Linked DNA regions of Rattus norvegicus. The protein of the gene in region 1 interacts with the protein of each later gene in a pairwise test. Links are inferred from orthologs where the notes say so. Each region holds a gene or a part of one and is shown in the gene's direction. Other genes may lie near its edges.

Region 1 (4,395 bases):
ATATCAAGGAAATCAGTCATCATGCGGGCCCTCCGCATGGTAAATCAGTAATGCTCTCCGGATGCAGACATTAGCTCACGGCAAAGGCATTATTTTCTTTTATTAAAACAGGCCACCAGTGAGTATCCTTTCTTGGCTTCCAGAGTGCTGGGATTATGGGCACACTCCACCCCTCTTGGTACTATTTTATTTTTGTACTTATTGGCAGTGCGAGGAATGGGACCTTGCACTCCCCCAGGCAAGCGCTCTATCCCTAAGATGCATCTCACCCTCCTTTTAGTTTTAGTTTCTTCATGTTGGAGTGCCCCGGGATCATGTCTTGGTCTTCCTCTCCGTAACTACATTGCAGAGCTTATGTCAACTAGTCTCATGACTGTACATGCATACCATCTACGTGGGTCAACCTCCAAATTGAAGTTCATTCCGGACGCTACTTTTTCTGAAGCCTAATCCATCAGGAATTCTTACTGGGCATTTTATCATCTAGAATCTGACCACTTCCTTCAACGCCCCTGACTCCAGTGCAGCCATCTTTCTTTTTCGTTCTGGCTAGGCTAATCTTGACTGCTCCCTTCCCTCCCCAGTGTATCACTTATACAGCTCACAGGATCCATTTGGCCAGTAATGGTCTCACACTGCCTCAGCTACACAGGGAGTCTCAGGCCTCAGTGGGCACCAGCACCAGCTGGAGGACTCCTTAAGCCAGGAATCCCGGCTCTATCCCCAGCCTGCTCCCCAGACAGTAAGTTTGGGATGGAACTGGAGAATTCCCATCTCTATAAATTCCCAGGTGTTCCTTCCTCTAACAGGCATTGGTCCAGAATTCGGAACCCTCCTGCCTAGTCTCAAACATGACAAGGCGTCTTGCTGACAGGAATCTTCACCGATTTTTGCCTTAGCCCTGGGCATTCACCCATCTTGAGTTAGTGAAGGTTCATGTTAATTCATCTTCGTTTAACTGATACCCAAGAGGCCTTCCTGACCATTCCTCATCATATAGCACACCCCATCTCACTGAAATTTATTCATCTTCCCAGTGGGCATCCTGGGCTCATTGTCTCTCTTATCACGTTCAGAAGGGCAGCTTGCTAGGCTCAGCGACCCACGTCTGCTCAGTCACGTCCCCAAGCTCAGTCTAGCAGATGCTCATCTCAGTTGTCCACAGACCAGATTAGGACCCAGAAAAGACGCCCGCTAGCTTCGGGCTTGGGACCTTGGTCAGGCCGATCTATCTCTTCTTGCCTCGGTTTCCTCCTTTGGAAGGGCAACACTTGGTCTGCCCTCCCTTTCCCCCAATCCCCACTCCCCCGGGGGTGGTGAAGGCACTCCGACGCCAAGAGAAGGATGTGAATACACCGGTGAATCAGAGCAAGCCGCGCATAGGCGAGCACCCCTTCCGCGCGAGCCCTCCCCGCCTCCTATCTCCGAGCCTCGGTCCCGGGTCCCCCCCGCCCGCGCGCTCGCTCGCCCGCCCGCCGGCCGCCTCCTCCAGACGCCGCGGAGGAAGGGGCGGCGCCGAGGGAGGGGTCCCTCCGCCGCGGGAGGCCGCAGCGCCCGCCCGTCACGGCGCCGGCGCTGGCCGGGAGAACCCGGAAGTGGCCGAGCTGCGCGCTCGACCGCTCGCTCGCCCGCCCGTCCCGCCGCCGCCGCCGTCGCCCTGCACTCGGGGGAGCGCGGGAGCCGCGCCAGGCACACGAGCGCGCGGGGCCGACGGGCCATGGCCGCGGGGGCCGCCGCCGCAGGTGGTGGCGCGCGGTGAGGAGCGCTGCGCCCCCTCGGGGCGGATGGAACACGGCTGGGCGGGCGGACAGTGCCGGCGTCCGCGGCTGGTATGGTGCTGGCGGCGGCGGTCGGTGCCTGCGTTCTGAAGCCCGCGAGGAGCCACAATGGAGTCGCCGCCGCTGCCTCCCGCGTGAGTGAGCGGGCGCCCGGGCGCGCGGCGGAGGGCTGTACGGCTGCGGAGGGCGCGCGGCGCTGCGGAGGACACGCTGCGATCGCGGGGGGCGGCGGGCGAGGGGAGGCGCGGGGCGTGACGGGGCGCGGCGCCCGCAGTCCGGAGGGCGACCGCGGGACCGGACTCTGCCTAGCCGGCCAGGCGTGGGTAGGGGCTTCTCAGTCCCGGGGCGAATTGAACGTTCGGGATGGAGCTGTGCGTGGGGCATGGCGGGTGTGTGTGCGGGGAGGGGGTGGGTGGGCTACGATCGCCCTGTCGGTATCCCCCCGACCCCCCTAATGCACGGGCTGCTGCTGCCCATCTCGCCTACCCCTTTCTAGTGGGGGAGCGAGAGGATGCACAGGAAACTGGAAAGTACCAGACGCCTGGAGTCTAAAATGAATGCAATCTGAGGTTGCTTGCTTCTTGGAATTTCTAATAAAATTAATATCCAAGGAGCTTTTACATCACTCCAAATGAGCTGCGGCCGTTTTAGGGCATGTGATCGCCTACCTGGCACTGCAGAAAATCTTTTATCCAGAAATCAGAGCATCTCTCGTTCCCTTGGTACCCGGGGCACGTTGGTAGTGTTACCGACCTGTTAGGCACAGGTGTCTTTTTTCCTTGGTGCCCAAGTGCATTCAAGATCACCTGCAACAAAATTACTTTCTAGAAACAAGAGCTTAAGAAATCATGTGGAAGATGTTATTCGGTACAAGGTTTGAATTTTTTTTTTTAAGTGGCCTGTAAATCTTCAGGAGTTTGAACGTTTGGTGCTTCCCCTTCCCCCCACGCCACCTTCACGAGTTTAACCTCTATGAAGGAGTAAAGAGCCCTTTGGATCTGACTTTTTAAACCGCAGACAAACCTCTCCCCCCAAAAGGGTGAACCTTTTCATCCGATCTGATTCATAGAACCTTATCGGTTTTCAATGAGATTTGGCTAGCTAGGTTCACTCTATCACCGTTGCTCCTCACCCAGCCTCTTGTGGCTTCTTTGGCAGGATTACAGCTAAAATAAGGATATTTGGTTTGGACTGAACATTTCTTTTCTCTGTATTTTGTATTTTGAGTCCTCTTATGAGATCGAATGGAATGATAGAACCACAGTTTCTGTATGTGCATGACAGGATTTTGAGCTTGAGTGGAACAGGTCGTGGGGACCTGAAGAGTGGGTGAGTCTTGGCTTGCCCCTTCTGGGCAGATAGAAACGATAGAAAAAGCTTGCAGATGGTGGCAGCTTTGAGGCTGCGTGGTCTGCTCACACTCCCCAGAAGGTTGGGAAAGCCTTCTGAGCCCCCTGGGAAACATGTTGGTAGAGGGCTTCAGCAGCTTGAGTCTAGTGCCAACACAGGAGGTTTCTGACCAGCCTCAGGAACACTGATGGCAGAAGATACTCTGCATATAGATGACATGCTGTGTGTGATATAGGCTGGGTAAGTAAGTTACTTATGGTGAGCTTGCCCTCCCCACTTTTCTGTCGATTAAATGCAGTCTTTTTTCCCCCTCTGGGAGCAGACTGAACTGGAGAGAACAAGAGGACCTTACGATGAAGGTTTAAAAAAAAAATGGGTGTGGGAAAACAGGCCCTAGAGCAAGGAGGCATAGAAAATGGTTTAAATGGAAAAACTGAGTAGATGACCAGCTCTGTTCTCTGAGGCCGATACGTCACACGTATGATTCTGGAACTAGATGGAGGCTTGAGGTAGTGGAGGAAACCTGGAGTGCTGAGGTGGAGAATTGTGGAACGTCTTGTAGTCAAGTCGCTGGAGAGCTGCTAAGACCTCTTCGCTGTTTGCATGCATTTAATTAAAAACACAGACATTTAATTTGCATTAGGTAGATCCAAGACTCAAGCTCTCTTCTAGAGCTTGTTACCTTGCCGCTTAGGTTTCTGTAGAATAGACACGGATCTTGACTTCCTACCTTCTGGTTTCTTTGCCTCTGTTCCCTTTAACTCCCTTTTACCTTGGGTCATGCTGTCTGCTGTAAGAAATTGTAGGTGAGGTCTTTGGGAGGGGCTGTGCTAGGCTTCCTGGCCAGAGCTAGTCTAGGAGCACTCACTGGGAGCACTCAGCTCTTTATAAGCACTGAGTGTTAGCCTGAGCTTCAGCACAAAGAAAGATGTTTGACCTGGACTTAAAGGGCCTTAGATAATATGATTGGAAGCAGACTCAGAATTCTTTGTGTGTCTGTGGAGTAATTCATTCAGTGTGCAAATTCTTGGATGCCTGTCTCTGCCTGGCACTTTTCACAATGCTTGTCTGGGCTTCTGTTTTAAGAGTCAAGGCTACATTGTTCTCTGGTCCCACCCTTCTCCCCTTAGGCTGTCTTGGAGGGGTGTTAGGCATCTCTGCCTAGACTAGTAGTTCCTCATTTAGATTTCTTTTCTGCTCTGCCTCCAACTTTTTCTTGTCCTCTGAGAGGTCTCGTTGGTCGCTCACTGGACGGCACATTTCCAGG
Region 2 (4,259 bases), on another chromosome or scaffold:
CCTACGTGACAGGAGAGGGTTGAAGAAAGACTTCCTGAAGAGGGGATGAAGGAGCCCCGTGCAAAGGTCGAGTTTCCTGGTTTCACAATTACTTCCTGTGTCAGGGAATGCTAAAGCAGCTTTGAGAGCCCAGTCAATACCTACAACACAAGCCTTTCCTCAGAGGCTGATGGGTAAAACCTTGGCTCCCGGGGAGGGGAAGCTCACCGCTGGTCACCCTCAGACTGGTCAGAAACGGGAGGGAGACCTCTCTCAGCCTGACCCACAGTGATACCACCCCCTCATCCATACCCGTATCCCAGGCTAGTTTCTACCCGCTGAACAGAGGCAGAACCGTCCTTCTCCAGCCCCCATCCAACATTCTTGGGATTTCGTTCCACACTGCCTCGGCTGTGTGAGGATCCTGGAGTAGACTGATCTGTGACCCTTTACTTTGACCTGTGACCCTCTCTTCCATCCAGCGGCCCCAGTGGCCGGCTCTTCTCTTTCCTTCCACCACTCACCTGCCACCACACCAGCCCACTTCTCCTCCCCTCCCCCCAAGGTGGGGAAGGAATGGCGGGGAGGGAAGGAAGGCGGAAGGGGGGTGACATTCCTTGGATTCCCTGGATGGGGGGAAGTGAGGGAGTCAAGGAGAGCAGAGCAGAGGGAGGGGCACCCCATCCCCACCTCATCACCAAAGAGCTTTACCAGGACTGGGAGTTGAAAACTCATTAGAGAAAAGAATGACCTGACCAGTTCCAAGCCACTGCTCCGTCAGAGGAGGGGCACTTCCCAGCAAGGTGGCTGGCTCCAAGGGGAGGGCATCCTAGGGCACTCAGAGAAGAGCCGGTCATGCAGGAGAAACTACAAAGAGAGGCTAGCACAGGCAACTAATCATATCAGGGACTGTTGATCAAAGCCGACAGTTCACAAACCAGGGTGATGGTTCACCCTTGTAATCCCAGTCCTTGGGAAACTGAGACCCGACGGAGGCTTGCGGTGAGCTCCAGGCCAGCCTGTGCTACAGTGTGACACCCGTCTCCAAAAAGAAAACAAACTAGGGAAAAGATCCACCTGCAGCCGAGGGCCGCAAGCCACCTTGGGAATGCGTGTCAAAGTCCCGCAGGTGGCCAGGAAGGAAGGGACCGAGGGTCTCCGCGCGGTGTCTTTTAGATCCCAGCTCGGGGCACTAACTAGACTGATCGGGCGGTCCCCATGGCTGCGGAGGACAGCCGCGGGCATGGGTTGGATGGAGCAGAGCGCGCGCCGCTGCTGGCGGGTCCCCGCGCGCGAGGGTGGGAGGTCCTCTCAGGGCAGTGGGAGGTCTTGGCCCTGCGCCCAGCTTGGAGATGGGGGTGGGCGTGGTCAGGGGCGTGGTCAGGGGCCTGGCCTCCGCTGCCAGCTTCAGGGCGGCGGAGAGCCTCGCCCGGGCTCAGTCACTGCCGCCACTGCAGGGAATATGGAACCCCCTGACGCCCGCGCAGGGCTACTGTGGCTCACCCTCCTGCTGTCGGGCTACTCAGGTATGACTTGCGGCTGAGGGCAGAGCTGGAACTTGAGGTTGGGGCTTGTGGGGCAGGCCCCTGGAGTCCCGGAGAAGACAAGGGGAACAAGCTTCCATTTCCCCAGGGAGCACAATCTAGGGATTCCCCAGTAGGGAGGAAGGCGGGGAGGCCTTGGGGTGTATCGGATCTGAATGCTAAGGATAACCCAGCTCTGGAGCAAACACAACCTGAGATAGCGCTCCCTTCCCAGCCCTTCGGGAATCCTGGAATCTAAGCCCTACGACCCCTAATAACCTTGGGTACCTGGAATCTGGGATCTGTGTCCCTAGTCCTTTAGACTAGAGTCCAGCCCCTGCCCTCCCCCATAATCAAAGTAGGTTCTGCTAAGATACCGAAGATTAACATCCCAGAGCTGTCTCTAAATGATTAAGCTCAGAGTTTCCTCGGAGAAACTGGGGACCCTGTGGCTAGAGCACTTTCTAGAATATTGGGGTTTCCCCAAAATTCAGAGTTTAGGCTGTCTCTAAAGGACCCGCCTCTCTCTGAAAGGGCCGGGAGAAGAGAGCCTGGCAGAGAACGTGGAAAAGTGTTTCCGACTGACAGGGCCCCTTTCCTTGGGCCCCTGATAAATCCACACACCTGCATGTGGTGAAAGGAGAGGAGAAACGGGGACTGAGGGACACTGTGGACAAGGCGAAGAGAGATCAAGGAAGACAGGATCTCTGTCTGCCTTGCTGCTTGCTGCTCACATCCAGTCCGGGGCACCAGCCTGGCCCCACATCAGCTCCCCAGGGACAGGCTGGGGCCAGAGGTGGGTGCCTGAGAAACCAGGCTCCTGGCACAAACGTGGTATATAGTGGAAACCTACGAGTAGCCTGTGCCAGGCTGAGCAGAAAAAGAATGGTGTCAGCCCAGAGGGTAGATTCTCAGCAAGAACCATGCTACTCGCCAGACCCTGACAGGAAACCCAGACCCAAGTTCCCAGGTCCCTAGGACTCAGAGGTCCTTGTTTCCCACATCCAGCCTGCTCTGCTGCAGGCATCTAGGAGTCTAAGCTTCCGGCCCTTTCTCCCTCAGGACCCAGCCTCGCCCCTCTGCCCAGGTGACTCACCTCACCCTTTTCAAGCTTCTCTGGTATAGAGATGGGGGGGGGGGGGTTGTCAAGGGGCGGGTAGGGGGCTCTGGCGCCAAGCCGGGCAGGTCTCAGCCAGCCTGGCCCTCCCACATTCCTGAAACCTGCCCAGCCCTGTCCCCCCTTGCCACTCCCACACACCCATCCAGCTTCTGGCCCAGCTGCAGCCCACACCCCAGCCCCCCACACAGGAGAGAGCAGAGGGCCCCTAGGAGCTACCGGAGAAGATAGGATGGGATCAAGAGATAGGATGGGACTGAGATGGAGAAAGACCTGTTTGTTATTTAGCCCCAGGCCAAGTCTTGCTCTGTGCGCTGGAGGCCAAGGGGAGAGCCAGGCCTGGCCCTTCCTTGAGGGGACATTTGCTAGAAAAGAAGCCAGATTTTAGTTTGGAATGCTGGAGAAAGCTTTACTTTAAGCCTTACAAGTCAGAGAGACTGGGCCAATGGCACAGGACTTTAATCCCAGCACTCAGGAGGGAGGCTGAGGCAGCTGTAGATCTCTGTGAGTTCGAGGCCAGCCTGGTTCACATAGCCCGAAGGATTCCAGGCAGCCAAGGCTATGGGGTAAGACCCTGTTTCTAAAAAGAAGAGTTGGAAAGACACTGACAGGACTCAGGCTCAGAGGGGACCAAGGACGGAGAGAGGATCTGTGTCTGAGGGAGGAGGCTAGAGCCTAGACTCCTATCTGATGGAGGAGGCTGGGGCCTGGAGGGCCATCCCTTTTGATGGCAGTGGGTGGACATTCGATGCTGCACCCATCTGCAGGTGCCCAGGCTGAGCTGCACGTGTCCGTTCCCCCACGGGTGGAGGTGATGCGAGGGGAGCAAATTGCCCTGGACTGCACACCACGGGAGCATCCTGAGAATTACGTGCTGGAGTGGTTGCTTGTGAGTGCTCTATGCTGGAGGCCAGGGCTGGGAGGGTGTGAGGAGGGGAGGAGAGGAGGGGAGGAGTGGGGAAGGAGGGTCCAGTAGCCTGGTCACCTTAGCAGCCATTAGCTCTGCCTACACTGATTGCTCAGAAGACCTTGCACGGAGCCATCGGAAGGTGCCTTTTTACTTCACCAATGAGGAGGCTGAGACCTAGGAAGGCTTTGGCCTCTGCAAGGTGCCAGGTGTCTGAGCAGGGCAGATGGGAGCAGTGGTTTCCCCTTAGGACACAGTGCTGGAGTGAGGGCCACCAGAGACAACGGGGAAGGAGAGGAAATGAGAGAGACAGGGCAAGGAGAGAGAGAGAGAGAGACAGAGGAGACACGGGAACAGAAGGTGAACGCTGGACTCAGGAGAGAGGACATGGATGGGCCCAGAGGGTTGAGAGAAACGACAGCCTCTCAGGCCTGGAATCCCAGACAACCATGAGGGTAGTTCAGGGTCTATGAAGTCAAACCCCACTGAGGTATAAAATGCAATATAAAAATCAAGGAGAAGGCCAAGGGATTGGAAAGATGGGCCACACTTAATAACCCTTGGTTCTTTTCCTGAGGACCTGAGCTCAACACTCCTATGTTCACGGTTGCCTGTGGCCCTACCTCTGAGGGATTTGATGCCCTTTTCTGGACTCCACGGGTATCCGAATTCATGGACACACACACACACACACACACACACACACACACACACATATAACAAAAATTAATAT
Region 3 (4,221 bases), on another chromosome or scaffold:
TGAATGAGTGATAGGACGAGGAGGGTTCTACCCTCCAGGATCTGGATCTGAGCGGCCAGAGCCCCGGCCCGGTTCCTCCACAGCGGGCGGTGGTGCTGGGGACCATCCCTCAGGTGCCGACCCCCAGCTGCGCCGCCCGTAACCGACAGGCCCGGCCGGCCGCCTCCGCCCCCACTCGCCGCGCCACGGCGGAAGTGGCAGCCGGAGCGGACGGCGGGTGTCGAGAGGGGAGGGCGGGGGGAGACCGTGCGCAGCGGCCGGAGGCCGTGGGGTGGCGGGCCCGCCGGGGGTCTCACCTGCAGCGGGGAGGGTCCTCTAACACCAGCACGCGGCAAGAGCAAGATGGCTGCCTCAGCTGAGACAGAGAAAGACCGCGGCGGCAGCGGCGGCGGCGGCGGGAGAGGCCCACGTGACGCACGGCCCCGCCTCGACCGCGGGAGGAGGGGAGAGGGTGGGTACCGTAACCGCGCGCCTCCCAACTACAAAGCCCAGACTGCCTCGCGCACCCCAATATTCTGATTGGCGGCCGGTGAGGGGGCCGCGCTGCTTCCTGGAGGAGGTGGCGGACACCTCAGCGTCCCATTGTGTCTGTGATACCTTTTGTCTCGTACTCAACCGAAGGGCCGGGTGGGATGTAGTTTGGGTGTCTACTTTGGATGTCCTTCACTAATGGACTCCACTAGTATCAGAAGGTTAAAGTCGGGAATGTTGACTTGTTAGGGAGTAACTCGACCCAAGACCAAAAGCAACAGATTTAACGGAAAGAAGCTTTGCCCTTTACGTGCTTGCAGTGACTTATGTCCCAGTTCCCTCGGACTTCCTCGTCAGTTGTGCAGTAAGAGGCCCCAAACATGGTTTCTTTGGAGCTTATGTCAGTTGGTTGCATCATGCCTGAGTGGAAGTCGTGCGGATGCGAGGGATAGTAAAGGGTCCAGCGCTCCTCCAAAGTGCACGCCTGCAAGACATGGACAGACGCGTGCACAGCAAAACGGGCTTACCGGGTCTCTTCGGAATCCCAAACAGAAGAAATCTAACAATGAAGTGCTGTTGTCCAGTATTTTTACTTTATGCAAGGGGGCGGGAAGTTCCAAGTCCTTTGTTGTGATAGGCTAATATCACAGATAAATAATTTGCATTTTGAATATTTAGTGTAGTGGTCCACTGGAGGGAGGGGCTAGGGTGGAGGTCAGACGTAATTAACAACGGTTTTCCCGAACCTTTCCCCAGCCCCCACCACTTCGGCCCACCTCATCCGGCTGTGTCCCTAGGCCTGGATATCCAGGATTTAGGGAAAGCAAACTCGAGATGTACTCCTCCATCCTTCTACGTGATCTGCACCTTTAAACTTACTCCATTCCAAAGCGGACCCTCGAGGCACCGCCCACATCCGTCTAACATCACTTCCTTCGGTGTTTGGAGAGGAAAAAAATCTGGGAATCCGAGGGGTTGGGCTGAGCGGCGATAAGAGGGCACAGGGGAGCTTCTCCTGGAAATCCTGTGTTCCCGCAATCCGGTGGCTCTGTGCAACTACCCCAGTGGAGATGTCGCTTCGTTTCGGGGCCACCTGTTTGCTGAGCTTCAGTTTCCTGCTCCTCATCACTTCTTCAGACGGACGCACTGGGCTTGGAAAGGGTCAGACCTCGTTCTTATTGTAATCTTTACGGACCCCGGGCCTCCTCTTGTCCTAACACTTTTTGCTCTCGCTGTATCTTAGGCCACTTCAGATTCCTTTTTATCTTCCCCAACTGCTTTTGGGAGATTTCTTGGGGTCGGGAGTACCAGGTCCCGGAGAGGGTTTAAGAGAAGGAAGTTGAACTTGAGGGCGCTCTTAATTCTTGGGTTTGGGAAGATATGGCCCTTAAATTAGAACTAGGCTGTTTAGGAGTCCATTCATGTGTCATGTTAGGCGCTTGGGACGCCTACAAGAACCGTCACCTTCCCGCCAGAAGTAAGGTCGCTTGGGAAGCCCTCAGGAACCGTCACCTTTCCGCTAGAAGAAAAAGGGTCTCTGGTGACCTGTGTATCACATAGTCGCTGGAGTCTGAAGATTCCTCACCACATTCTCCCTACCCCACAAGACCCGGTTCCCGATTCTCTAAGAGATGCAAAAGAAAGAGCCAAATGAAGGGTAGATCTTTTGCTAGGTTACCAACAGTTGTTCTCTGTGTGGCTCAGCTAGTGTGTTGGAAGAAACTGATTTCTTTAGAGCGATGGATCAGTGGTTATGAATGAAGGTTAGCAAGTATGAACCCCCAAATCCGTGTATTGCCTACTTGAACCCCTTCTCATCATCAGTCCTTTTTTGGGCGGGGGAGGCAGCTGAATTGACTAACTGGGTGAGTTGTAAATGGATTCCAAGCCTGCTTTGATTATTTTGTGTTCTGACCTTACTGTGTGGGATTCTGCTGTTGGTGGTGGTATCTGCCGATGCGTTTTGTGGTGCACGACACACATGACTAGGCCAGAAGAGGATGTTGGGTGTTTTCCTCTTCTGCTTGTTCTCCACCTTATGAAACAGTCCATTCAATTTGAGTTCACCGTTTAGGCTAGAGGAGCTGGCCGGTGAACTCATGGGATCCTATCCCTAATGTTAGGGGTTACATGCATGAGCTGTCGTGCCAGGCGTTTATATGGTTACTAAAGTTGTTTTCACAACTATTCTTATCTTCTGAAACATCTCTAGGCCCAATCATGATTTTTTAAAGGTTTATTTTGTGTGTGTGTGCGTGTGTGTGTGTGTGTGTGTGTGTGTGTGTGTGTGTGTAAGTAAATGTGTGGCCCGAGTAGGTCAGAAGGAGGGTGTCAGTCCCCTTGGAGCTGGAGTTACAGGCAGTTGTGGGCTGCCTAACATGGCAACTGAACTTGAATCCCCTGAAGAGCAACAGGTCCCCTTAACCTCTGATCCATCTCTCCAGCCCCTGTTTGTTTGTTTGTTTGTTTGTTTGTTTGTTTGTTTTTAATGCTCTTTAATTTTATATTCATTGGTGGCCAATGAGACTGAGTGGAAAGTCAGTGGACCTAAATGGAGTCACCTCTGTTCAGGATTGATTTCTGATCATCAACCATGGTTTGATCACTGGCTCGAGTACTAGAGAAATGGCAGTGAAGAGAACAGACAAGGTTCTTGCTTTCATTGGGTGTATATTTACACCCAGGTTCATGACAGATTAAAAGACTGGGAAGTAAAAAGGCTGAAGAGGGTAAGGGAGCTGGCATTTACCTGAATTAGGAAGGTGAAAAAAGCTTATCTTTCTTTCTCTTTTTTGAGGAAAAGTTTTTCTAAGATGATCTGTGGGTTTTTACCTATGAAGGAAGTGCTAAAAACTGCACAGTGGGTCAAATGTTTCAAATACTGGTGATTCTTTTGTAAAACAGGCTGCTCTGTACTTGGAATAAAATTGTGAGCACAGAGGGAGACTGGAGTGCTAGGATGTATGCGGAGCTGAGTTTCAATGTTTTCTGCCAATGTCCAAATGAGATGCCTGTGACAAGCAGCTTAATCTCTCACAGCCTCAGTTCCTCAGCTGCAAAATGGGTGTGATTGTTACCTCAGACACTCGACATGTAGCGTGCCCTGCTCAATTGACTGTGTTGAGTGTATATAACATTATGAAATGTTTTTTGAGTATCCGTTCTTTGTCAGACAGTAAGTTCTGTGTTGTTCAGTTAGCATCATTGCCTAATAAACAACTCCCAAATATATCGAAGCCTTCAATCCCAGGACTTGAGGTAGAAGCAGGTGAGTGGATCTTGGTGAGTTCCAGGGAACTCAAGTGGGAGAGCTAGTTTGTGATAATTGAAAGAAAAAGCAAAAGACAGAATACCATGCCACACACTTGAAAACTAAAGGAATTAATGCCATTTAAAGTGTTTGTTTTATGTATTGCTTATGTATAGATTCTTTGGACATAAGAAATATACTAACCCTGCCTAAAAAAAAGTAAAAAGTGCTACCTGAGGCAGGAATTCCTGAAATTTTTGATGAGTGTCGTTTCTTCCAAGATGTCTAAATAGCTCCAGCTCTTTCCAGAAGACACCTTGGGTGTTTGCAGAGAGGAGACAAGGAATAACCCCCTTCCTACCCTCTCCCAACAGTTCTCATTATGAAGAGGAAGCATGTTGGTGTGGAATGGTGTGCACTAGACTGGAATTACTAGGCCTAGATTTTAATCTTGGTCAGGCCATTTAGTCAGCTCTGGTCTTCCCCGGTGACCATTTATT

What was found.
Region 2: the proteins of Klhl2 (region 1) and Bcam interact in binary tests that used the Homo sapiens proteins (3 or more experiments, as listed by UniProt). The two-hybrid records come from large-scale screens. The link is inferred for Rattus norvegicus from reciprocal best matches to the Homo sapiens genes KLHL2 and BCAM.
Region 3: the proteins of Klhl2 (region 1) and Txndc12 interact in binary tests that used the Homo sapiens proteins (3 or more experiments, as listed by UniProt). The two-hybrid records come from large-scale screens. The link is inferred for Rattus norvegicus from reciprocal best matches to the Homo sapiens genes KLHL2 and TXNDC12.

Annotation. Positions count from the first base shown.
Region 1 is NC_086034.1:29,625,646-29,630,040, forward strand, and holds the start of Klhl2 (kelch-like protein 2), read left to right. Parts: upstream 1-1,591; 5' UTR 1,592-1,886; coding exon 1,887-1,912; intron 1,913-4,395. UniProt on the Homo sapiens protein: Substrate-specific adapter of a BCR (BTB-CUL3-RBX1) E3 ubiquitin ligase complex that mediates the ubiquitination of target proteins, such as NPTXR, WNK1, WNK3 and WNK4, leading most often to their proteasomal degradation.
Region 2 is NC_086019.1:88,554,532-88,558,790, reverse strand, and holds the start of Bcam (basal cell adhesion molecule precursor), read left to right. Parts: upstream 1-1,432; 5' UTR 1,433-1,441; coding exon 1,442-1,505; intron 1,506-3,386; coding exon 3,387-3,508; intron 3,509-4,259. UniProt on the Homo sapiens protein: Transmembrane glycoprotein that functions as both a receptor and an adhesion molecule playing a crucial role in cell adhesion, motility, migration and invasion.
Region 3 is NC_086023.1:128,815,152-128,819,372, forward strand, and holds the start of Txndc12 (thioredoxin domain-containing protein 12 precursor), read left to right. Parts: upstream 1-1,394; 5' UTR 1,395-1,541; coding exon 1,542-1,632; intron 1,633-4,221. UniProt on the Homo sapiens protein: Protein-disulfide reductase of the endoplasmic reticulum that promotes disulfide bond formation in client proteins through its thiol-disulfide oxidase activity.